7 linked regions of the Nothobranchius furzeri genome follow. The protein of the gene in region 1 interacts with the protein of each later gene in a biochemical or structural test. Links are inferred from orthologs where the notes say so. Each region holds a gene or a part of one and is shown in the gene's direction. Other genes may lie near its edges.

What was found.
Region 2: the proteins of notch1a (region 1) and numb form a complex in vitro, tested with the Homo sapiens proteins (2 studies listed by BioGRID). The link is inferred for Nothobranchius furzeri from reciprocal best matches to the Homo sapiens genes NOTCH1 and NUMB.
Region 3: the proteins of notch1a (region 1) and nfkb1 form a complex in vitro, tested with the Homo sapiens proteins (2 studies listed by BioGRID). The link is inferred for Nothobranchius furzeri from reciprocal best matches to the Homo sapiens genes NOTCH1 and NFKB1.
Region 4: the proteins of notch1a (region 1) and usp10 form a complex in vitro, tested with the Homo sapiens proteins (2 studies listed by BioGRID, with this or other methods). The link is inferred for Nothobranchius furzeri from reciprocal best matches to the Homo sapiens genes NOTCH1 and USP10.
Region 5: the proteins of notch1a (region 1) and fbxw7 form a complex in vitro, tested with the Homo sapiens proteins (2 studies listed by BioGRID and IntAct, with this or other methods). The link is inferred for Nothobranchius furzeri from reciprocal best matches to the Homo sapiens genes NOTCH1 and FBXW7.
Region 6: the proteins of notch1a (region 1) and snw1 form a complex in vitro, tested with the Homo sapiens proteins (3 studies listed by BioGRID). The link is inferred for Nothobranchius furzeri from reciprocal best matches to the Homo sapiens genes NOTCH1 and SNW1.
Region 7: the proteins of notch1a (region 1) and maml1 form a complex in vitro, tested with the Homo sapiens proteins (2 studies listed by BioGRID). The link is inferred for Nothobranchius furzeri from reciprocal best matches to the Homo sapiens genes NOTCH1 and MAML1.

What each region holds. Positions count from the first base shown.
Region 1 is NC_091746.1:60,833,946-60,836,999, forward strand, and holds the end of notch1a (neurogenic locus notch homolog protein 1), read left to right. Parts: intron 1-2; coding exon 3-1,256; 3' UTR 1,257-2,554; downstream 2,555-3,054. UniProt on the Homo sapiens protein: Functions as a receptor for membrane-bound ligands Jagged-1 (JAG1), Jagged-2 (JAG2) and Delta-1 (DLL1) to regulate cell-fate determination.
Region 2 is NC_091758.1:16,941,180-16,945,271, reverse strand, and holds the start of numb (protein numb homolog), read left to right. Parts: upstream 1-1,292; 5' UTR 1,293-1,397; intron 1,398-2,222; exon of another isoform or gene 2,223-2,378; intron 2,379-2,384; exon of another isoform or gene 2,385-2,575; intron 2,576-4,092. UniProt on the Homo sapiens protein: Regulates clathrin-mediated receptor endocytosis. Plays a role in the process of neurogenesis.
Region 3 is NC_091741.1:65,304,963-65,308,462, reverse strand, and holds part of nfkb1 (nuclear factor NF-kappa-B p105 subunit), read left to right. Parts: intron 1-2,834; coding exon 2,835-2,973; intron 2,974-3,500.
Region 4 is NC_091749.1:59,303,010-59,307,241, reverse strand, and holds the start of usp10 (ubiquitin carboxyl-terminal hydrolase 10), read left to right. Parts: upstream 1-1,432; 5' UTR 1,433-1,532; coding exon 1,533-1,712; intron 1,713-2,193; exon of another isoform or gene 2,194-2,326; intron 2,327-4,232. UniProt on the Homo sapiens protein: Hydrolase that can remove conjugated ubiquitin from target proteins such as p53/TP53, RPS2/us5, RPS3/us3, RPS10/eS10, BECN1, SNX3 and CFTR.
Region 5 is NC_091747.1:80,809,342-80,812,841, reverse strand, and holds part of fbxw7 (F-box/WD repeat-containing protein 7), read left to right. Parts: intron 1-944; coding exon 945-1,193; intron 1,194-1,281; coding exon 1,282-1,797; intron 1,798-3,500. UniProt on the Homo sapiens protein: Substrate recognition component of a SCF (SKP1-CUL1-F-box protein) E3 ubiquitin-protein ligase complex which mediates the ubiquitination and subsequent proteasomal degradation of target proteins.
Region 6 is NC_091742.1:20,654,240-20,657,739, forward strand, and holds part of snw1 (SNW domain-containing protein 1), read left to right. Parts: intron 1-1,145; coding exon 1,146-1,241; intron 1,242-1,539; coding exon 1,540-1,646; intron 1,647-1,739; coding exon 1,740-1,844; intron 1,845-3,152; coding exon 3,153-3,222; intron 3,223-3,324; coding exon 3,325-3,390; intron 3,391-3,477; coding exon 3,478-3,500. UniProt on the Homo sapiens protein: Involved in pre-mRNA splicing as component of the spliceosome. As a component of the minor spliceosome, involved in the splicing of U12-type introns in pre-mRNAs.
Region 7 is NC_091741.1:65,500,013-65,503,512, forward strand, and holds part of maml1 (mastermind-like protein 1), read left to right. Parts: coding exon 1-498; intron 499-942; coding exon 943-1,167; intron 1,168-1,485; coding exon 1,486-1,624; intron 1,625-3,500. UniProt on the Homo sapiens protein: Acts as a transcriptional coactivator for NOTCH proteins. Has been shown to amplify NOTCH-induced transcription of HES1. Enhances phosphorylation and proteolytic turnover of the NOTCH intracellular domain in the nucleus through interaction with CDK8.

The sequences.
Region 1 (3,054 bases):
AGGAGGAGACCCCACTGTTCCTTGCAGCCCGTGAAGGCAGTTATGAAACTGCAAAAGTTCTTCTTGAGCACTTTGCCAATCGTGAGATCACTGACCATCTTGATCAGCTGCCTCGGGATATCGCCCAGGAGCGAATGCATCATGACATTGTTCGGCTTCTAGACGAATACAACGTGGTTAGGAGTCCTGGGCTTCACAGTGCCCCCTTAAACACCTCCACACTCTCTCCACCTCTATGTTCTCCCAATGACTATCTCAGCAACCTCAAGCCAGCTCCTTCTGTCAAGAAGTCCCGGAAATCAAGTTCTAGTGGAAAAGGGGGGAAGGATGGGGGTAAGGACATTAGGGTTAAGAAGAAAAAATCTCTGGATGGAAAGAGTAACTTGCTGGACACAACATCTGTTCTTTCTCCAGTTGAATCACTGGAGTCGCCTCATGGCTACCTTTCTGATGTAGCTTCTCCTCCTATGGCATCGCCCTTCCAGCAATCCCCCATGTCTCTAAATCATCTACAAGGCAATGGAGATTCTCTTACAGGCCAGATTAATCTGGGTAAAGATATGACTTGCATGTCGTTTGACCCTCCCCGTCTTTCTCACCTTCCCGTGTCCAGTCCCAATGCTCAGGGGACCACCTCCATAGGTGGTGGCAGAGGGGGTCAGTGTGACTGGATCCCCAGGATGCATCCAGGCGTAGGCCAGCAGGGAAGCTTCACCCAAGGACCATCCATTGCACACAGCATGATGGGTGCCCTGCATGGTGTCAGTACTGCCACTTTGTCTCAGATAATGGGCTACCAGAATCTACAGAACAGCCACCTTGGCTCGTCTGCACACTTGATGCAGCAGGCTCGCTCACGGCAGCTCAAGCATCAAAACTCCAATTCCACAACAGCTGGTCAATCCCTCAACCAGAGCTTCCCAACGGTTGAGCTGAACGGCTCAGACATGCAGCCGAACAGCAGCACAGGACGATCAGTGCCCATCCACACTATTATGCCACAGGAGACGCAGATGCTTGGTACCCAGTTTCTTACCCCTCCCTCCCAACATAGCTACACAGGCCCTATGGACAACACACCCAACCACCAGTTACAGGTGCCCGACCATCCTTTTCTGACCCCATCCCCTGGTTCCCCTGACCAGTGGTCCAGCTCATCCCCACATTCCAACATGTCCGACTGGTCAGAGGGCATCTCTAGCCCGCCCACAAGCATCCATTCACAGATTAATCTAATCCCAGAGAAGTTTAAATAAATTGGACCTGCTCAGATTGAACACAGAACACACAAAACAACAACATTTCTGTCATAAAGAGTAACAAATTTGTGACAAGACTGAAGAAATTTCCCTTTTCATAATCAGTTTTTATACTAATAAGAGCAGTTTTAGTTATTTTGTATTTATTTATGTGCATTTTGTGAGCTGAAAGAAAGATGTTTTATATTTATGTTTTTTTAATGTATGAAAAACCTAGAAACTGTTGAAAGGTAGTGTCTGTCAGAAAGAACGCCTCCTGGATGTGTACACTGGTTATTTATTTGTCTTGTGTTGATATATTCACTGGATTTGTTTGACTCTTTTGGCACAAAAGTTTGATTTTCCTTTTCTTTTTATTTTTTTTGGGCGGGGGGGGGGGGGGGGTGAGTAGGGCTTCTGCATTGCTTTACCTTTGTACAGTTTTTTTATGTTTTAGAGAATATTTTAAATTTTCAGTATTAATTAAATTTATCTTTAACCTCATTTGTCCTTTTTTTAAGTAACTTTGTTTGTTACTGAACTACATTTCACTGAGTCTTATCACTGAGTCTTTGTTAGACATTGATTTAATATATTAATTTAAAGAATCACTTTTCCTTTGGTTGCTTGCTAGAATATCCTTTCTGAACAAAATAACAAAAAATAATCAACAATAGCTAATAAATGGCATAACAGAGGTAATGAACTTAGGGGATTTTGGACCTTAAAGCTACGATCAAATATCGTTTTACTGACTAAGTGATGCTTTTCAGTAAATCTCAGCCTAATTTTATAGAAAAATGATCAGGGCTGATGCTGAGCGATTGATTTGTGATCATTTGTGACCCAAGGATTGTTTCTTTGTTTCTTATAAATGGTTTGCAAATCTTTGACTATGGTTACCGTGTTTAACCTGTTAAGTGTTACCTTGCAGACCTTTTGTAAAATGTTGAAATGTTACATTTGTCACGGTTTTTAAAAGTGCCAGTGTGATTTATGCTTTTCTTACAAAAAGCAATGTACTTTTTGAGATTTCTTGTAAAAAAAAAAAAGTTACGTCTTCCAAGAGGAAAGTGATGTTGTTTGTGAACGAAATGGGGACCTTTGTATGTTTTTAGCGACATCATCTGCACTTTGTGAACAGGTGTAGCTTAAGGTGTCTAAATGTTATGTTTTATAAACTAATCAAGAGGTAAAGATGTTTTTAAGGAACAAAAAGTAATAACATTTTCATGCATAGTAGACATATTTCCAGATGAAAATCTTTTGTAAAGCTGTCATGATTCAATAAAAAGAATTGCAGTTAAACCTCAAAACAGTGTCTTTCCTTGTTGCATAACTAGTGCTCTGAGATGACAATATTATTAGAGCCTTCTCAAACTAAACACATCATGCACCATAATCATGTTGTAAGCTGGAATAAGATGAAATAAAAGCATAGAGGTTTTTGAGATTTTTGTCATGGGACCGAAGAAAGCAGCAGCAGCTGAGACGGAAACACCTGGGACCAAGAGGAGCCGTCCCCAGGACTTGCCCGAGGCCTCATCTCCCCATAAGGATGTCTTAGATTTACTACAGTCCATAGATAAACGGCTTCTGGGATTTGAGGGACGACTCCACCTGCTAGAGGTGCTTCACAAGGAGTTCCAGGATCCCCGAACCAGAGGCGGATTTAGCAATTTGGGGGCCCAAGGCGAACACAGACATGGGGCCCCTTACACTAAATTTTCGACAAGCTTACCTTTAACTGGATTTGCGAAACTCTCCCCTCTTCTGACATGAGTTATTTTCCCTTTTTATTAGTCCTCCTCTTTTT
Region 2 (4,092 bases), on another chromosome or scaffold:
TGATTAAATTTTGGTTATGTGCTGTGGTTAAAGAGGAGCAAGAAGCTCAAGATCCTGAGAGAGACGGGGTTTAATCAGAGAAGAGCTGGTGAACACATTCACCAATTAATATTTCAGACAGTTTTCACACAAGAGTTCATTTACTAAGTGAACAAGACTCCAGACCAACCAGGTGCTCTGTGAACCAGTGACAGTCAGACACGGTGGTGGTGGTGGGATGGTCTGGGGCTGCTTAGCTACTTCAGGACCTGGAACACTTGTTGATGGAACCATGGGTTCTGTTCTCTAGCAGGACATCCTGAATGAGAGCATCTGACCTTAAACAGGCCATATCTGCTGGAGAACCCTTTAATGGAGCTGAATTCAGACTGTTCTGTGGAGAAGAGCAGGACAAGACTCCTCTACAGTGATGTGAGGGACGTGTTACCAGTTCCCACACACACTTAATCCAGTAGGTTCCTCCACGGGTCTTACAGCTAGTCGGTAGGCTTTGGTGCGAGTTACTTTGTTATGTGTCTGTAGATAAAGGTGTATGGCAGAGGTCCTCGACTCACTTTGTTCAGCCAGAATTTAATGATTGCTTTTTGAGAAAAAAAACACAATCCTCCTTTTTCCTGCTAACAAAACCCAGGAACCATAAGATCCAAATGTTTGAGAAGTCAGATTATGGAGATACTTTATTTCACAGCATGGACAGATTGTGATACTGAGATCCTAGAAAGGTCATAAAATTATGTCACAGCATGATGAAAGGTGAGGTGAAGTTGAAAGGTCAGCCTAAGTAAATGAAGGCTCCTATCACTAGAACACAAATCTCTAACCCCTAATTCCCGTTGACCCCGGTAACCCTAATCCTTAGCTGCAGCTAACAAAGGTTCATGAACTTTAAAGGTTCTGACCTACAAAATAACAACCCTGGAGATTTCTGTGGCTGCTGAGCCACATATATGTTTTGCTCTGTTCTGCAGCCTGTGGTCGGGCTAAAATTAAGCACATCAAAAGTATGTTCAGCTAAAAATAAAAATTATTGACAGATTTGTTTCTCATCTCTGTTCTGGGTGGACTGTATTGGATATAGTTATGAGAATTATATTCATTTGTCTGTTTTATATTGAAATGCTGTTTCGCCTGCATTAATTAGATTATTTTATAAGGATCTCAGGTTCAAGAAAAAAGACCTGATGACAGTCCAACCTTCCAGCAGGAGGCAGCCCATCCTAACAAAAGAGGGGATGTGAGGCTCAAAGGGAAAATTCTGGGACAGGTTGATCGGTGCTTCTTTGCTGTAAAACCTTGAAACAGAATCAGAAGAGAAACTTAACGGAGAACAAAAAACAGTCACAGATAAAGAGGCATAGTTAATCTGGGACAGCAACAGATTCTTCACCACAGCTAAGGTAAGAATCTACAAAACAGGTCCAACTACTTTTAGCCTTGTGTGTGTGTGTGTGTGTGTGTGTGTGTGTGTGTGTGTGTGTGTGTGTGTGTGTTTCTGCTTGTTCTGTAACCTTTTAGCTATTTGTGAGGAATGCTGATAAACTTCTGGCCTTTTGAAGGGGCCAGTGTGTGATCATCAGGTGTGTGTGTGTGTGTGTGTGTGTGTGCGTGCGTGCGTGTGTGATGGGGGTTACAGTTAACCTGAATTAATCACCAGTGTTTTAAACAAATAAAAAAAACAATAAAACTAGAATCTGGTGCAAAAATTAATTTATGTCAGTAAATAAACGTAGACTGAGAGGCTAAAGACTAAAGGCTCAGGAACCCTTTGCATGTGTTTCCGATCAAGCCGATTAGCCTAGAATATTAATGGTCTAGGATTTAGATATTGGGGTTTTCATAAACTGTAAGCCATAATCTTTACAGTTATGACAAATAAAGGCTTGAAATTTCTGTCTTTGCCTGGAATTATTCCAATATGTTAGTTTCACCTTTTAAGTTGACTAACTGAACTAATGGTTCCAGTCTCACCTGTAAACATGTAAGATTCTGATTTTTCATTGACAAAACGTTGTCTTTATATCCACCCATAATTGTTGTGGCTTCCGTTTCACAGCAAAAATGAGCGTCTCTGCGCATGTGGTAATTGTTCCGCTCACAACTGCGTCACTGACTCCGGCCCAGGTTACAATCAGCTATCGATCACCTCCGATCAGCGCGCGCCAGCCAATGGCCTCGCACGGAGGCGGTCCGTTGCCAAGGAGGAGGTTTGGTTGAGTCTCCGGGTCGCAGCCATTCAGCGGCGGTGACTGAAGCGATTGGACTGCTCGGGTCTCTCCGAGACTTTTTTGTGGAATTTGAATTATTTGGCACGGCACGGCTCGTGACTCACAGGTGACGGTCTCGGTGGGGATCCTTCTGGGTCGCAGAGGTGGTCACAGGTATGTTGAAAGAAAAAACAAAAGACGTTCTGTGTTGATAGGACGAGCGTTTCTAGTTAACCGTTAGCTCCCAAGCTAAGCTGCGCTAGTCCCCCCCTCCCTGCGCACCAAGCTACACTAGCTCCCGGTTACGTGACACTATTCTGTTCTTTTACTACCCTGACTACATGGCAGAAGAGGCTAATGCAAGCTCCGAGGTCTGATTTCTCTCACAAACAAAGGAGATGTCATTCTGTATGTGGCAGTCTGAGATGGGATGATATTTAGCTAGTTAGCTCACCACTTTCAAGTTACCAGGATAACTTTTAAGAGATGGACGTCACTCCGGCTGGAGTGTGCAGCCACCGAGCTGGTTTGTTGTCACGACGTCGCTGGTGTGTAATATTATTGTTAAAACGTTGTGTGCTAAAGAAAGAGTGGGTTTATTTAGCTGTAAACTGAAGTGACTTAGCACGTTCCGGGGAAAAAAGGCGTAACTGGTTCAGCTCTGAACATGTTAATGAGGCTGAAACGACAGGTCCTGGATCAGCCGTGACTCATGCTCTTAACACGCTGGATGGTTTAAGGTGCGTTAATGTGATCGCGTAAGGTGATGGTATCTTGGTGAGATCTTGCTCACTCTTCATTCTACTCTGGTTGTATCTGTGAGCAGATAAACACAGTAGTCAGATTACCTCCTACTAACAGATCCAGGAGCAGGAGGATGATGTGCCCAGGTTATTCAGATGGGAATGTTGTCAGGAAGTTTGGATCCATCACAATTCCCTTGATGGTATCATGACATGCTGTTTTGTCGTTCATTATGAGGGAATAGTGTTTGTTTGCTAATAATATTTTTATTCTGGTTGGATAAGTGTAATTGTATAAATTCAAGATGAAAAAAAAAACAAAACAGCACATAGCTAGGCCCCTTAAACATCAAATCTCACTTTTTGTTTACAAGTCTACAGAAACAAGACAACTACTGTCAGCCATGTTTATTCCTATTCATTCATCGGTTTAAGCCCAGTAGTTTTTTCTGAAGTGGAAAAAATGGAGCAAAATGGCAGATTTTTCTCCCATCGTTTACCAAAAAGGGAGTTGTCTGGTTATCTTCCACTGAACCCACTGTCTAAGTATGTCAGCTATTCGAGGGAGGCGAAGGAGAACACAGGAGCATGTATCTTTCTGTGGTTTAGAGATTCTCTGAGAAACTTGCATTACCCTTATCATCTTGCGCTGCTGTCAAGAGAAAAGAGCTCTTTTGGCAGTGAGCTTTGCATGCAAATGATGCAACACAGGTAGATAAACCTGCTGTGCAATGATAATGCATTCACCAGGCTAACCTGTCCTCAGATAGTCGTGCCTACCTGTGTGTGGTGAAATCAGCATCCGTTTAGCTCAGTTTTGATTGATTCTTTGTTTTGTTGACTGATCAAATAGAATCCGTGTGGCCGTCTCCTCGGCTTCCTAATGTGCATGATATTTTCTGTCATGTACGGGTGTTTGCTTATGAGTTTTTAGTGAGTTGGTTTGAAAACAAGTTGCTTCTTTAGCTGTTTTGGAGCACAGAGAAGACGCAAGCAAGATGGAATTCAAAGGGAGTTGCATATTATTGTTTCTGTTAGCCCCTTCAAACGTCCGTGTAGCATTTGATACCCTTTCATCTTCACAAAGAGGGGCATGCTGTCTGCACACTAGGGCTGCAGCTATCGAATATTTTTGTAATCGAGTA
Region 3 (3,500 bases), on another chromosome or scaffold:
ATAGACAAGGACCTCTTTATTTGAATTACCAGGCATTGACGCATAAACAGGAACTATTGCTGAAGTCTGAGCACTGTTACCATCATGTACAACTCTATTGGATGTGGTTTCTTGAATGGTGTCTTGCAGCGATTGTAGCGTTCTTCCCTTAATGAAAGAATATTTTCTTTGAACTTGAAATATTTTTCCTTTCAATAAGAGTTTGGAAGGATGATTTTCAATGATTAAACTTGAGTGGATCACCATTAAAAACTGTGGGCTCTGGAATGGGTAGCCTATTTGCTGATATAGCCTCAGCTAAGACTTTCACAAGCTCTCCTGTGCTGTCTTGAAGCACATGTGTTGGCACTGCATCCTTTGGTGATTGTGAGTGCCAGTTGTCAGATTTCATTTGGTTGCGTGGCTGCATAACCTTATGTAGATCTAGGCTCTGTGGAGCATTCCCTTGTGCTGGGCTGAGCTCATTCTCATCATACACCTGAAGCCTTGCTTTGGCTGCATTCATCCTTTTCAAATTCTCTAAACGATCAAGCTCTCTCTTTAGGTTCTCTACAGACCTCTTTCTTGCCGCATTCTCTTCTTGCTGTTTCTTTAAGAGAGCGGCCTCTTGTTTCTCTTTTTCTAGCCTGCGTTCGGTTTCTTCTCTTTCTCCTTCAAGACGACGAGCTAATGCGGCTGCTTCTTGGTCTGCGATGATCAACCTCTCTTCAGCTTCAAGCTTTTGCAGCTTCTCTTGGTGGTCCTCTTGTTCAGCCATAATCTGCAGTACAGCCCGTGTAGCTGCATACTCGGCAGCAGCTTCTTGTCTTCTAAGTGAAGATACATTTGAGCGAATAGAAGATGCTTTAGAACCATTAGAGGCAGAAAGTGAAACACTGGAAGTTGAAGATGCGAATACAGAACTGTGATCTGGCCAAATCAACTCCTCAGCTGTACCCTGTATCTCAAATTGAGCATTTCGTAATACAGTCTTGGTGATCGAGATGCAGTTATCCATCTTGCGACGCATGTCATGGGATGGTTGATCAATTTTTCGGTAGTCGTCATAAGCAATGTTCAATTCAGATAATTCCCTTTGAATACCGATGATGTGTTCTTGTAGGATGTCACTAGTATCCTGTTTTAACACAGATCTTTTAGCTACCTTAATTAGAGCTTTCCATCGTTCATATTTGCTGTCAAAGCGAAGCGCTAGCCCCTTGATTTGCTTTTTCTGAAACTCCTTTCCCTTTTCTGTTAATGTCCGGGCTCTTTCACTTCTACGAGGCACTTCAGGTGGTGCTATATTTTGCTCGATATTTGATTCATCTGTCTGCTCTAACTCGGTCTCTTCTTCCAGAGCAGCTGCTGCACCCTGAGCTTCTTTACTTGTATGTGACATTTTGATTATTTGTACACAGGCAACATACAAGAGCAAGCTGCAACACTATTTGTCAATGCTGAATAAGGGGCTTAACTAACTAAAGTCACTCTCCATGTAGCATATTACAGAGTAAGTACACTTAACAGAGTTCTTCTTATAACCTGTCACACACCGAACTTGTAACGACATTGAACCGTAAATACAAACTGGATATCTACCAAATGTACAAGGTGTACTTCTGCTCCTTAAGAGCCAACTATTATTATTCAACTGAACATGAATTTACATGTCTTACTTAAGTGCACATTCATATACGTGAAACACCGTGGCTGCCAGGTTATACACAGTCCCTCTTAGTTTTCAACTCTTGTGTCACTTTTCAGACCAAAACTTTAGAGTCTGACTTATAGACTTCTTCATGAAAACCTTATGAACCTGTGTGGCCTAAACAGTGGCTTATCTAAATGGTAAATGGCCTGTATTTGATATAGCGCCTTCTAGAGTCCTGGAACCCCCCAAGGCGCTTTACAACACAATCAGTCATTCACCCATTCACACACTGGTGGGGATAAACTACAATGTAGCCACAGCTGCCCTGGGGCGCACTGACAGAGGCGAGGCTGCCACTGGCGCCACCGGTCCCTCTGACCACCACCAGCAGGCAACGTGGGTTAAGTGTCTTGCCCAAGGACACAACGACAGCGACAGACTGAGCGGGGCTCGAACCTGCAACCTTCCGATTACGGGGCGAGCACTTAACTCCTGTGCCACCGTGTTCCCGTCTTGATGAGCTGCCGAACTTGCGCTGATAGGGCATGTTTGGGCCTCGAGTTTGACTTTCGCTCCCTCCGGTTAATAGACGACACCACGGTTCTTCATTCACTGATGGATTTATTCTTCCTTCACACTTCTCCTCCAAAACACCATTAATCCACCGTCAAACTCGCTGGCTGCACGTAACCATAAGGGAGTGAATCCGCTTCAGGAACAAAACTTAACAAAGATAATTCGCTGGTTTCGTCTTCGTCTTCTCTACAGCTTTCCCTTACTTTAAACTGCTTATTTATTCATTCCTGTGACTGCATAGGTTATAGCTTAGCTTCTTTTCACATGCTCTTTTACTTCCCTTTCCGTCACCCAAAACGGGCCGTGCGCAACACAGCATGAAACTTAGTTCCTACCCCAAAAGAAACAACAATAGACCAGGGAAATAAGATACATACATAACACAATAAATTCAAACAAATTGACATAATTTACATTGTGGCAGTTAAAGTTCTATTAATTAATTAAGCTGTTTAAACAGATTAAGCAGATTAAAATGTCTGAACTGCAGTCAGATTCCAGCAAGTTTTCACAGGCTGTGTTTTAACAATTTGCCTTCATTTAAAGTTTTGATAAAAATGTTGTGTTAAAGATAATTTTTTAATAAGATGTGTTTTCTCTTGGTAACATGTTGTCATGACAACAGTTTGCCATCGTCTTCAAGACTCCGAAGTATCGAGACCAGAACCTGCAGAAGCCAACATCGGTGTTCGTCCAGCTGAAGAGGAAATCTGACAACGAAACAAGCGAGCCTAAACCCTTTACTTACCACCCTCAGGTCATAGGTACGTCTCTGACTCCGCCCTCCCTGACTCTGCCTTCAGATTTTGACCCTTTGCACCTACGTCAACTAATCATGTGGGTCCACCATGCTGGACGGCAAAAGCATGTAAACAGTGAGCGACGTGTACTAAACAAAGGGAAAAGTAGAGCCTGAAATAGTTTTTGTTGTCGTTTTTTGCGATTGTTGGCATTACTTTATCAGAAGGAATGCTATCAGAAGAAGTAGCGCACCTAGGCGGGGCTCATAGATACCAGGATTTATGAAAGTTAAGTGGTAACTAGCTTACGTACGTTAGCTTAAGTTCTTCTTGCGGCTGTTCAACGGTGCAAACAACTTTCTGATTTAGCCAAAATTCACCCACTGGATTTATGACATATAAACAGCATTTCACTTTACACTGAAGCTGATTTTTAAAAAGTCCAGATCTCTACCAGTTTTTGTTGCTGGCGGGGTCACCGGGTTCAGCTGCTTCTCTCACACCGGAATGAGAAGATCTTTGAACGGCGATGCTCACACTAAAGAAATAAC
Region 4 (4,232 bases), on another chromosome or scaffold:
CTGCACCATTTATTTAGTGCGTGTGGACTCCCAAACAAAAAACTGCTGTTATTTTGCTGTTTTGGACAAAAATGGAAACCTCTTCGCAAAGATTTAGATCAAACTGAAAACGGTTATAAAAGTTTTTGTTTTCGGTTAAACTAATGTCTAGAACACCAAATTTGGCAATTCATGCCACAACCCGGACGACACACGACCACGAGGTCAGCGCTCAAGCGAAGTGAATTTACCCGTTTCATCCGAAGCATTTCCGCCGAGGAAAATAGACTTTTCATAATAAAAGTATATGAAATAATAACAGATTGGAGATATTCGTGTGAAATTTGTTTTCTTCATTTTGTATACGAGAGTTTTAACAGCTGATATAGTCTACCTGTTGTATTAAACAAAATGTTCACTGCTGAAATAAACAACTAAATGAACAAGTAAATAAATAGGACCTATTGTCTAGTTGTGGAACCCTTCAGACAATGTCCATAGTCTGTTATTTTAACCTATTTAACATTAAAGCTACAAAAATTGTCCTGTATCACATTATTCGTTTAATTCTGATTTAATTAACAGCCAAAGGAGGCAGTTTGTTTCAAGGTCTCATTAAAAAATAAAATGCTTTATAGGCTACTTACAAAATTACAAACGTGTATGTTTATTAGTTATATTTATTTACTTTCATAGGAAGGGTTTATGTTGTAGGGGTGAAGCTTTTTATTTTTAACATTAAAAATTTTAATTTCAAATTATTTGACAGTTTATTGCAGATATCATTTCTTCAAAGAAATTTAATTTATTCTCTATTCTTTTCTTAAAGGGCATTTAGATCAGGATATTTTCTAAATGATGATTAAAAAATGTGAAAGATAGGATACAGGACCCATAATGTAAATAGAACTGGCCCCAAGATGGACCTTTGAGGAATTACACAAATGACAGGGACCTTTGCAAAGAATAAACCCACAATTAAATCAAAATGTTAAAGATGAGGCGGGCACTGCTGAAATGAATTTCACCTGAGTCAAGTACACAACTCTACAGACAAACTTAATGAAACTTATCAAAGCTCTGCTGGAGTTCGAATCACATTGACTGAAATAATAAAAGGCGAATTTTACTAAGCTGATACCACATAAGTCCCACTGTTGTAACAATTACTTTTATTCATTTATTTTTCATTGATAATTAAAAAAATTGTACAAAGTAAAACTAAATGCAACAAGTTTATATGAAACTCTTATGAAACATGTTTGTGAAAACATAAAAAAAACATATTTCTTCAGAGATAAAGACTGAAATGTTAAAGGTAAATAATAATTGCAATTTTTGTAATATGCCATTTTTTGGTAATTTTTTTAAATAAATTTGCCCAAAATATTACAACTTTACGACATTCCCAATGTTTTTATTGTGAAGGCACAAGCTAACCGTTAACGGAAGTATTTACCATCACTCCACGAGCCGTCGCTGCTACTCGTCGACCGCGCGCTGGTTTGGCTAGCTAGCGAAGAATATGGCAAGTCGAGCACCATGAAGTGCGGATGCATTACACGGATCACAGTTTTCAACTGAAAATACATCGATGGACCACTGACAATGACGTCAAAGTAGAGCACTGTTTGCAGTTATTACAAACCCGTAACACCTTCCCGGGGAAGTTTTCATCTGGTCAGCGGAGGGGAGAAAATCTCACCAGGAGCATGGCTTCTTACAGCAACCAGGTAGCTCGGCTAGCATTAGCCAGTAAAACAACTGAATGTGGAATTCATCTAACCGTTATTTAAAGCTTTACGATCACCTCTCTTTTGCAAAAACATGTTCACCAAATAATTATCATACCATATTCGTGTTATGCTAAGTTGTGTGTTTTCATTTACAACAGCGATTTGATCGTGTCATTGAAATTCGTAGTGCTGAAAAGTGCTTGCTAATGCCCCCCATCCACCCCCCCTCCTCCCAATGAAACACAACCAGCATGGTAACATTGCTAACAGGCCGTGCGATCCTCCATTCAAATGAGCCAGCAGTACTGCTTACTGCTATTTTTAAAAGCTACGAAAGCATTTTTTCATCTAATCGGTTCTACAGCCCGCATAATGAAACGACAGGGATTGCTTGGTACCAGATTCTACGATTGTCATGAATTATTTGTTAAGAGAGAAGTCACAGGAAAGGAAACTGCTGCGTGTTTGCACGGCCCACCTGCTCTGCTGACACGGGCCTTCTCGACTTTGTTTTCTTAAATCAATACTACTGAATACACGTCCAATATCAGGTGCAAGTTCCGATTCGCGGATATTTTTCCGCAAGCAAATGTAGGCGTATGCTAGCAGAAGTAAAGCCAAAGATGAGATGCATTTTCGAGCTTATTTAGCTGTTAGCAGGCTAGCAGTTTTGCACAGGTGGTGTGCATTGCTGTCATTTCGCTTGCTGGTTAGCTGAATACTGTGCGACAGCGTGGGCCTTAATTCGTATTTTGACATTTTATGCAAACGTAAGTAGACACACGATAAAATTAGCTATGGGCAATTCGCGTATGCAAACGCAAACTAGCTCTTCTCGCTGTGTGATAGAAGTTAGTCTGTAGGAAGCAGATTCGGGTTTTAATTCCGTGGAGGCTAACCTTCATGTGGGAAGGCCCGTTTTGAGGTGTGCATGCAGTAACTTGCAAGTAAGTCCGGGGTTTGTTGTGTTTGACTCAAAGTTAGTGTTTTATTTAAACGAAAGCACATCAATTAGGAACCCGTCATAAGCCGTTCGTTTGAATTAAATGTTCAACAAAACATGTATATTTATTACAGGAAGCGACGTATCACTGGAAATTATGTTTTCACACCTTTTCCTGCCCCAAACTGAGCATTTCTGTTGGCTGACTGTTCAGCAAAGCAGTGGTTTACGAGAACCAAAAAAATAAAAATAAAATAAATTAAATTCAGTTTCAGCCTTTTTTCCCCCTTTTATACAAAAGTACATTTACGTTGTGAAATGATCAGGTATCAGCCCTGAAATATTTGATTTCTCTTATCACAAGAGTATTTGTCAACTTTTAGGCATGGGGTAAATGGTCAATATTTACTGAGAAATATTGATTCCCCTCCATTTAAATTGAGCAAATTTCAACCATTATTAGATTTAAAAAATCCTGTTTAATTGTTGTTCACATTTAAATTCTTGAATGAAGCAGCTGCTGTTAAAGTGAACTGAATAACAAAATGTGTGCACACACTTATAGGTTACCAAATACAAACATCAGTCAAAGCAGGTCATACTTCTTCTATAGTGAAGAGATAAAGGTTAGGAAACAGGTCATGCTGGAAAATCTTGTCAGTTATACTTTTTACCCGTTTCTATTGATAATGGCAGATTTGGTTCTGCTTATTTTTTGCATGGTCATTCAAATCTAAAGGCTGAAAGACAGAAACAAGTTATGTTTGATTTATTTGATTTTCAGGCTTTCAGAATTAAACATTTTTTATGGTGAACAGGTAGTAATTATTGCATTTTGGGTTATTTCTACTTAAATACCACTTTTAATAGTTGTTGCACTGCTAAGAAATATAGTTGTATTGCTTATTTATATTAAAACAATTAAAAGTATATATCCTTCCTGTCTTCTAATGTGTATTTTAAAGTAATGACATGTCCCTGCAGGTGCATGCACACTTAGCAGTGTTCTACAGCTTCTCATGTTGACATAGGGATCTGTTTCTGTCAGAGTACACAAACTTTCCTCAGAATTTGTGTTTGATTCCCAGCGTGTAGATTTCATAAATATTAAAGGTTTGTCAACAGAAATATTGCAGAGAAGCAAATTGGTTTAGTCGTTTAATTATGTAGAAAATTTCTGAAGATTATTTAATACCATAATAGTTTCTCATAAATCACATGAATATGCCTGAAACAAATACATCTGCTGGCATCTTGGCATCTTTTATACCCGTGTGTATCTCAGAGTTTTCATGAAATGGTCAAGTGTGTTGTGTCATCGTGCAATAGCTGAAATTATACAGATGTCCAATTTGTTGTAATCTGTTGTATGCTCATAAAAAGATGCAAAGGGACATTCTTTCTGTTGTGACCGAGTTGTTCCGAGGCTGCTGGGATTAAAGCCGGCTGTTTGTCACTTGTTGTGCTGTTTCAGCAATGTGAGCCCTAATGGGGGGGCCTTGTTTGCAAAGAGTTACATATGCTTGAACTGCACTTTCTTTTCTCTGTGCCTTCCCTTTTCACAGCCGGCTATT
Region 5 (3,500 bases), on another chromosome or scaffold:
ACTTTTGGTAATTTACAGAATCTGATTTGATCTGTCAACTTTCAGGGTTTAGTATGTTGCCTGATGTAAATTACAATTTCTAACTAGAAAATTCCTGAAGAATTTTTAAAAAGGGACCTGCCAGCTGGCACAAGATAACATTCATACACATGTAAAAAAAATGCCTCTTTAGAAGGCCTGCCATCAAATTCATCCATTATTGTGCACATAATTAAATCATAATCATGCAAAGTTAATGCAAATTTAGACACACTCAAAATGAATAAAAGAATATGTTTTTTGCTAATAATTTCACCATCATAAATCAAAATGCTTAGAAAAGTAAAAGCACACCTCCCACTGCTGAGCCGTTTATTTTGATGTATAATTTGTGGGGGTGCACGCTGCCGCTCGAGCCGCGTTAACGTCCGCGGAAGAATAATAACGGATATTAATATCTAAAACTCCCCAGGTGCATAACAATAAGGTCCCTGCTTGCTGCAGCAGCAGGTCCCTTAATTATTAAGAACGTACTTAAATGAGTAAACTTTAAATTTTATTTGATTAAAGATGAAACAGCAGCTTTCTTTTGGATTTTAGATATTTTAGAACTGTGTGGAGCGACAAGTTTGGAGCTGCAGCTCTCATCTTCTTTTACAGTGAAACAATATTTAGCTTTTGTATTTGACGTATTGTTTTTTCTGTAATTTGACAAACTTACAAGAGAGTTGTTTACATTTATCTCTGACGTTGTGGCTCCTGTCCCAAAACACAATCACACCCATCACTGTTGCTTGTCTGCTGCTGAGCAGCACAATCGGTTTCCCACAAGCTAATTCTCCACATCAATAATATTTAATAACTTGGCTGATTTTATGGAAAGTACTCCAGACAGTTTAAGAGAAGATGAGGAATAACAACCAATGCATTAAGCATAGCTTAAGTGTTCTGTTTGTGTTTTGCAGAATGTCAAGACCATCCCCTCCTCAGACAGCCTAGCGAAGGTTCAGGAGGTAGCAAGCTGGCTTTTGGAAATGAACCAGGATCTGCTGTCGGGGGGCAGCAGCAGCAGGCGGAGCCGGGGCCCCGGGGGTCAGGCAGTACGAGGTAACGCCTCCTCTACGGCCCGGGCACCCCAGCAGGCAGCAGAGGAGGGTGAGGAAGATGATCACATCAACCGGGTGGTTGAGGAAAGCGAGCAGCCACAGCAGAGGGTGAGGTTTTTTTTATTTTGTGCATGTTGGAACATAAACTGGGTTTCCCTAAAAGGTCATTGTTATTCTTCTCTGTGGCGTTTTGCAGCCGGATGCGTCACAGGTTGATGATGAAAGGGAGCAGCCATGGGCACCCGCCGAGTCAGGAGCCAGCAACGGCCCTCAAGGAGAAGCAGACGAGGAGGAGAGAAGAGGAGGCCAGCTAAATGAAGTGACCGGGGATTATAAAGGAGTCCGATGGGTGTGGGGAGCAGAGCAGAGAGCGCTCCGAGGCCAGCCGCACCTCGAAGAGGAGGAAGAAGAGGAAGAAGAGGAGGAGAACAACAATAGCAGCAGCCACCAAGAGGAGGAGGAGACAGAGGAGAGGACAGAGGGAGGGGAGGAACAAGGAAGGGAAGAGGAGGAGAGGGATGAGGGTGAGGAGGAAGAGGAGGAGGAGGATGACGAAGAGATGGACCAAGACAGTGATGAGTTTGAGCAGGAGGAGGAGGAGGAGGAGGAGGTGGGAGATGGGCTCCGCTCCCCCACTCTCAGGAACAAAGTGTCTGCCCCCAGGAATAATCAGGACTCGCTCTTCACACACCAAAGTTCTTCCAACAAGAAGGTAAGCAGCTTAATGGATCCTGTTAGCCGTTCTGCACGTCTGTGAGTAGCTTTACAATCACATCTGGCCAGATGTTCCTGTAGTCTCACAAACTTCTGAAAATGTTCTGCACCAGCGCTGCATTGTTGTTTGAAACAACAGCGCCACCCAGTGGCCAGAATGCTCCAGCACTGTAAAACTCAACACTGTTAGTCAGAAACTTGTTTCATGTTTGATTGGGAAACATGATTTTATATCTGAAATCCAAAAATGCACATCCTGTTTAGCACTTGTAAAGAGTAAACTGTTCAAAGTTTCATGTGAAAGAGTGTTTAGAGTAACACACATTTGTGTTCAGCACCATTTCTTACATTTAGATCCGTATAGTTTTTATTCTTTAGTGGATCCTGTGATTCAGACGCTGTTCTCCATTACAATTCTGTTCAATTCAGTCAGGTTTAGTTCCCCTGGGCCTCTTGTGATCTGACACAGCTGACCGACCAGGTGTGTTTATCAGGGCCTTAGTCACTTGTGGGCCATTCCCATCTGTACCGGGTCGGCCCGGGCCGGGTAGCGTAGGTTGTTTACATATCTGGGTAGCCTGGTATTTTTCCGGGCCTACCAAGGCTCATTCTCAGCCCTCTTCTCGAGGGGGTCTGCTTCAGGCCGACCAGGGCCAACACACCCACTGCTGACAGCAAATTCACACCTTCCATTAGAGCAAGCCTCTGATTGGTGGGTAGAATCAGCCCACATGGGCTTAAGACAAGGATGTGTGGAATCAACCGGGCCAGGCTGGGGCCGACTGGGGCTACCCGGCCCGGGCCGACCCGGTACAGATGGGAATGGCCCATTGGAGGAGCCATCTGGCTTTGCACACATTCTGTTGAGCTGTGGTTAAATGTGCATGGTATTATAGAAGGATCTGTTATGAGTTTAAATTAAAAGTTTCATTAATAGTTTATTTATAACTTAGCAGTTTTCACAACAGAGACCTTTTGTGATTGAGCTGGTTGAGCTGTGTAAAAAGAAACTGACTAAGGCCTGATGTGCCACCAGATTAGGTGGCTTATGACTCATCACAGATGGGTTCTGTCATGGATTTGATCAGTAAGTTTATCAATAACCTATTTCCCTGTAGTCGGAGAGAAAAAGGAGACAATGAACAACAAGTCAAACAGTTATAACTGTGGCAAGATGCCCCAAACATCCGGTCTCATAGTTTATTTATATATATATATATATATATATATATATATATATATATATATATATATATAGAGAGAGAGAGAGAGAGAGAGGAGAGAGGAGAGAGAGAGAGAGAGAGAGAGAGAGAGAGAGAGAATGTGTGTGTGGGAAGTAGGGGTGGGCAATATAAACGAAATAAGGTAGAAACGATCTAAAATTGGGTAATGATAGTGTTTTTGGCTAAATTGCAATACCGCGATATCGCAAAAACACATGACGTCACTAAGATGTGCACCCTGCTGACATTGGGGCAACAGAATGGCAGTGACTACAAGCATGGATTGGGCGGAGGAGGTGGCCTATGTACAGTGGGGCAAAAAAGTATTTAGTCAGGCACCGTTGTGCAAGTTCTCCCGCTTAAAATGATGACAGAGGTCAGTAATTTTCATCATAGGTACACTTCAACTGTGAGAGACAGAATGTGAAAAAAAATCCATGAATTCACATGGCAGGATTTTTAAAGAATTTATTTGTAA
Region 6 (3,500 bases), on another chromosome or scaffold:
TGACCGAGCTATAAATCACCGTCATTCGTGTGTGTGTGAAAGTGAAATGATAGTGCGCCCGCCCCCCGGCGCGCGCGCGCCCGGTACATGCAATTTTTTATGCTTGATTTTAAACAACTAAACAAAATGGGGACTTGTTTCTTATTTGTTAGATGCTGCAGCTAAATTTGCATTTAAAAGTTTAACCTTCTCCTGAATTTTGTTGTTTTTAAGTTCAGTCGGACTCCGACTGTCGGACAAACAAACGTTACTGCGATCTGTGTTGTTACTGCCCTTTGAGCTGCATTCAGTAAAGCGTTATAAAAGAAGGCACGGCAATTTTTAACCTTTTTTAAATGTGTAAACATTATGTTTAGATAGTACTGCAATAAAAAAAGGACTGCAATAATATCGCATACCGCAATATTAAGCCACCCTGAATCACCGCAGGGGGAATTCCTCAACCGCGACAGCCCTAGCCTGGTTGATGCTTCTCCGTCAGCGCCGCAAGGGACAGACACGCACGGATTGATGGAAGCTTTTTGCTTTCATACTTCTCCGTCTCCTGGAGAGTGTTGCAAAGCAATTCCCTGCCAGGACAACAGAGGGCGTAGCGCTGTTCTGTGGTATCCTGTCATGTATTGGTCCAAGATCGTGTGTTTATATTGTGTTTTTTGTGTATATAAGAGACTTTTAACACGGACATATTTGTCTGTCATTCTCCCACCGCTTCATGCGCTGCCCACCTCTAAACCCACGTTTCCTGTCATTTCCGTCCACAAATAAAACGCTTGCTGCGCATCTTTTCACTCCTCCAATCACGGGAGAATGAAACGTTCATATTTTTAGTTTTTTTTGCGAGGTCTTCTTCAAGCTTCTCCGTGTCTGCCGCTAGTTATCCTCGGCTCTCTTTGCAATGGCGGCGCTGTAAACAACAGCGGCGTCCTGACCAATCACAAGCTTGCGTAATCCGTCTCGTTCGACAGATGTTTTAAAAAGTGGGCTCGACTCCGTACGTACTTGCGTGTCTGCCGGAGCCCTACGCAAGGACGGATAATGGCGTCGCGTGTCTCCGCACTGACGCAGACGGAGAAGCATAAATCAGGCTTTAGTTGTGAGCTTTCCTTTGTAGTTTCTCAACACTGAATGTATTTTCCTTATTGCAGGTGATCTTCAGCAAGTACACCGACCTGCTTCCCAAAGAGATCCTTCATGAAGATGCACAAGGCCTGCAGAAGCCAGACGAGGAGGCTGTTCAAGAGGTACGATGTCATACAACATGTTAGAAGATGCAGCTCTGTTTTTCTATCCTTCATTTATTACTAATGCATTAATGCTACCTTTAAATAATCAAAGGCGAGCTTTAACTCAGCTGTTATTTCTTATTTGGAGTAATCCTTTTATTTGCAACCCAGAATCTTACAGGCTGTTTGAACCATTGAATCCTTTATCTGCAAGTTTTATTTCATCTCACTGGCAAACCGCTGCTGTGTCTTGTTTGTTTTATTCTCATTAGTAATCATGATAAACTGGATAAATGTTCCTGTTCCTCCTCTGTAGCTGACGGAGAAAACTCGTGCCGCCCTGGAGAAGCAAGTGTCTCAGAAGATCGCAGCTGCCATGCCCGTCAGAGCCGCAGACAAACAAGCTCCTGCACAATACATCAGGTGTGTAGTGAAGCTGAACATGTGTGTGTGTGTGTGTGTGTGTTAGGAACAGTTCTATTGACATTAGTCATGTGCTATTGTTGTCTTCTTCAGATACACTCCTTCCCAGCAGGGGGTGGCTTTTAATTCAGGAGCCAAGCAGCGAGTTATCCGTATGGTGGAGATGCAGAAAGATCCGATGGAGCCTCCTCGTTTTAAGTAAGTCAGACGGTTTGAAATGGTGATCTACTTTTTGTTCTGTGTTGATTTAAGTTGGGCAGCAAATGTCGTCTAAAGGAAATATATTTCAGTTTGGAGTTGTCACAAAAAAACATTTAATGAGTGGGGAAGGAGCCTGAGTTGGTGTGTGAGGATGAGAGGTTCCGACTAGATATAGTCGGACTCACCTCAACGCATGGCTCTGGCTCTGGAACTAGTTTCCCTGAGAGGGGTTGGACGTTCTACCACTCTGGAGTTGCTCCCACTGAGAGGCGCCGAGCAGAGGTGGGCATACTAGTTGCCCCCCATCTTGGTGCCTGTACGTTGGGGTTTACCCCGGTGAATGAGAGGGTAGCCTCCCTCCGCCTACGTGTGGGGGGACGGGTTCTGGCTTTGGTCTGTGCTCATGCACCAAACTACAGTTCAGACTACCCACCCTTTTTGGAGACCTTGGAGGGGGTGCTGGAAAGCGCTCCTTCCGGTGACTCCCTCGTTCTGGTGGGGGACTTTAACGCTCACGTGGGCAACGACAGTGAGACCTGGAGAGGTGTGGTTGGGAGGAACGGCCCCCCCGATCTGAATTTGAGTGGTGTTTTGTTATTGGACTTCTGTGCCAGTCATGGATTGTCCATAATGAACACCATGTTCAGACGTAAAGGTGTCCATATGTGCTCCTGGCACCAGGATACCTTAGGCCGCAGCTCGATGATCGACTTTGTTGTTGTTTCATCTGACCTGCGGCCGCACGTCTTGGACACTCGGGTGAAGAGGGGGCGGAGCTGTCAACTGACCACCACCTGGTGGTGAGTTGGCTCAGATGGTGGGGGAGGATGCCGGTCAGACCAGACCGGCCCAAAAGTATCGCGAGGGTCTGCTGGGATTGTCTTCAATTCCCACCTCCAACAGAACTTCCAAAATGTTCCGGGGGAAGCGGGGGACATTGAGTCTGAATGGACCCTGTTCCGAGCCTCCATTGTTGAGGCGGCCGACCGGAGCTGTGGTCGCAGGATCGTCGGTGCCTGTCGTGATGGCAACCCCCGAACCCGCTGGTGGACACCGGCGGTTAGGGATGCTGTCAAGCTGAAGAAAGAGTCCTATCAGGTCTTTTTGGCATGTGGCACTCCAGAGGAAGCTGACGGGTACCGGCAGTCCTAGCGGAACGCGGCTAGCATGTCTGTAGAAATTCACACAAGACTTTAAACTTGCTTCTTCAACTTTCCTGATCCAAGCCGTGTTTCTCTGTAGTTCTGCATCGTCTGGTTGACATCCCTGGATTGTTGAATTAACTTGAGTGTTTGTGCGTTTCAGAATCAATAAGAAGATTCCTCGAGGACCCCCTTCCCCTCCCGCCCCGGTCATGCACTCTCCAAGCAGAAAGGTCAGCTAAAACGTTGGAAGCCCTCTGGTTGTTGATGCTACATAGCAAATGAAGATGAGCTAGCTATGGCTGCTTCTGATGGAGTTTCTTACTTTGTTGTAGATGACGGTCAAAGAGCAGCAGGAGTGGAAGATTCCTCCGTGTATTTCCAACTGGAAGAACGCTAAGGTGAGCAGACTCACCGGGAACATTGGTTGGTTTAGTCTGAATACAGCTGTGGGTAGATTTCAAGTCCTTTGATGTGCTCTTGTTCAGGGTTACACCATCCCCCTTGATAA
Region 7 (3,500 bases), on another chromosome or scaffold:
GACGTATCCCGGGCGCAGCAGCTGAAACAGATGGCAGCCCAGAACCAGAGAGCCCAGCAGCACAAACAGCCCCAGATGGGGACCAAGTTCCACAACCCCCCTCCCTGGCCCCAGATGTCCAACAGCTCCCAGAGCCCCTCCCTGTATCCTCCTGACTTCACTTCTAACTCCTCAAAGCAGTTGCTGATGCCCTCTCAGCCCAACAAAGGCTCGCCGAAGTCTGGCGCAGGCAGCTGCATGCAGGGGTCTACCGGGCACCCCAACATGCTTGGTTCCCTGACCTCAGGACACCCACTTAGCCACCCCTCAGGACAAGGTACTCAGGTGTCCCTGAACTTCCACAACACTAGACCTCTGTCGCACTACGAGGCAGGACCGGGTCCACCGAGAGCCCCCAACGCTCAGAACCAAGACAAGACCCTCGGTCTGGTGCGCCCACAGCAACCACAATCCAAACCCAACGGTATAAACTTCCTTCAGCACATACCACACTCACAGGTATGTACACACACACACACACACACGCGCACACACACACACACACACACACGCACACACACACACACACACACACACACACACACACACACACACACACACACACAGAGGTTAGGCTTTGTTCTACAGTCTCACGCTATAATCTGTCCTAGGCCATATTTAGGCAGACTGATCAACTGTTTAGAGATAATCAGGAGTTCAGCTATTTGAGAGAACTGTACTTGGATATTGAATATTTATCCCTTGTACTAAAAATCCCCCAATAAGTTTTAAAGATGACTTTTTCTCCTTCTACGAGTGTTGCTGTGTAGTCAGGAGACTTCTGATATCTTTATTCTGATTGAATAAGCACAGCTGCCAGTCAGTCAGTTTACAGGTGAGAGAAGTATTTGTCTAAAGGTGATTACATTTTTCTTTCTATCTTTTTTTTTTGTTTTGTTACAGGACCAGAACACCTACCCTGCCCCTCCACACGGCACAGGCCCTGTCAACACCATGACGCCTGGGCCCAATAACATGGTGGCGCCGCAGGGAGTGAACGCCTTGTCCATTAAACGTAATAACGCTGTGTACTCAAACAAACAGGCAGCAATGGCAGCAGCACTGAAGCAGCAGCAGCATCAAATGTTGGAGCAGCAGTATGTGCAGAGGCAGCTCATGGCTGAACAGGTGAGACTCACCTGTGATTCCACTTTGTGCTTACTGTGAGGTTTCTGAGCTGACTTTTAACCTCAGACACCAGGGGGAGCTGGCCCTCATTGGAGATCTGACCAGAGTGTCTGCTGAGGCAGCTGGAGCCATCAGAAGCTTGTTCACTTTTCCCATCATGCCACGTTTTTTTTCCCCTTATCCACCCAAGCAGCAATCCTTCTTTTATGGTTGCTTGTGGTTCTTTTTTAACTCAAGTTTCTCTGTTCTAAGATGTTTTTTGTAGTTTATTGGTGTGCTGTAAATCATTCATGATCCTGACTCATGAACCCTTTACAGGAGAAGCAGCGTCAACAGGAGCAGCAGCAACAGCAGCTGCAGCGACACCTGACCCGACCTCCCCCACAGTACCAGGACCAGCCAGGACCACCAGCCAATCAGAATCCTTTTCCACAGCAGCCAGTCAGTCAGTTTACAGGTGAGAAAAAGTTTTCATGCTTGCGTGTTTAGTGAGAACATGCCAGAGTATCTCTTATAATTGGATATGGAGCTGCAGGAATAAATGTTCTATCCTGCTTGGAGATTTTCCGCATCAGCCTAACATACCAGAGGACGGTGTAGACTAAAGCCTGATTTATGCTTCTCCGTCTGCGTCAGTGCGGAGACACGCAACGCCATTATCCGTACTTGCGTAGGGCACGCAAGTACGTACGGAGTCGAGCCCACTTTTTTAAACATCCGTCGAACGAGACGGATTACGCAAGCTTGTGATTGGTCAGGATGCCGCTGTTGTTTACAGCGCCGCCATTGCAAAGAGAGCCGAGGAAAACTAGCGGCAGACACGGAGAAGCTTGAAGAATACCTCGCGAAAAAACTCTAAAAATATGAACGTTTAATTCTCCCGTGACTGGAGGAGTGAAAAGATGCGCAGCAAGCATTTTATTTGTGGACGGAAATGACAGGAAACGTGGGTTTAGAGGTGGGGAGCGCATGAAGGGGTGGGAGAATGAGAGACAAATATGTCCCTGTTAAAAGTCACTTATATACACAAAAAACACAATATAAACACACGATCTTGGACCGATGCATGACAGGAAACCACAGAACAGCGCTACGCCCTCTGTTGTCCTGCAGGGCAATTGCTTTGCAACACTCTCCAGGAGACGGAGAAGTACAAGAGCAAAACGCTTCCGTCAGTCCGTGCGTGTCTGTCCCTTGCGGAGCTGACGGAGAAGCATAAACCAGGCTTAAGGCTGGGTGGTAAAGCGAAAATTTACCGTTACGCAAATGTATAACTCTTACCAACGTCATTTATTTATAAATGTGAGTCAGTTGCTGATGTCCATGTCCCTTTTAAGAAGCTGCGACACAGACCAGTGGGGTACACGTCACAGCCAGTCACATAGTCATGTGACTCCAACCCATCGAGTCTGTAACAAGAAAAGCAAAATGAGGAAATGGAGAACGAATTAAATATGGAAGCAGTGGGCTGCTTGCAGCTCATAGTTCTGATTCTCTCAATACTTGTGGACCACGGCTGCTCGTAGCTGCCCAAATCTTGTAACAGTTCTCTTCTCAATGACGCTCGCCGCTTGGTCCGCAACACTCTGCAGCCAGCCGCAGTTATTGATGGTCAGCCGAGAGCGTTGATCAGCGGGCTACAACTGACATAGGTTTAGTCGTGGAGAAGCTTGTTTCCAAAAACGTGCATCAATCATTTGGTAACAATATGGATTCAGCAAGGTTGATGTGATGAAAACAAGACAATGTAAACTGGGCAGAAAGACTATCACCAAGTCAAGATAACACGTATATCTTCAGTACGTCTGGGTTTTATTTAGAACCTGACTACTGGACAACTCAAATGTGACTTCACCTGATCCATTTCAGTTCTTTTCAAAACCATCTAGTTTGGTGATACATTGTTAAATCTCCATCCATCTGTTTTCCTCCACTTATCCAGGGCCAGGTTGTGGGATCCTTAGTCTATAATTCAATTCAAGTTTATTTGTATAGTGCCAAATCACGAGTCATTTCAAGGCATTTCACAAAATCTTTAAATCATGAGTCATAGGTTAAATATGCTAGTTATTAAAATTATATATATATTTATATATACACTATATATATTCATTATCGAAATCTTGTTGATAATGAATAAAATTACAATATTGGTGGATTCATAACATATAACCATAAAAATTGGAAACAAAATACATGGGAGCAGGTCTACATCTCTGGGCGATGCCATATTAGGGCTGCCTCACACGAGAGCAAACTGCTGAGCTGACAGTCATTCGAGGCCGCTTGCTCAGCAGATGGCTCGCTGTGTGTGCCTGATTTTCAGTCTTTTC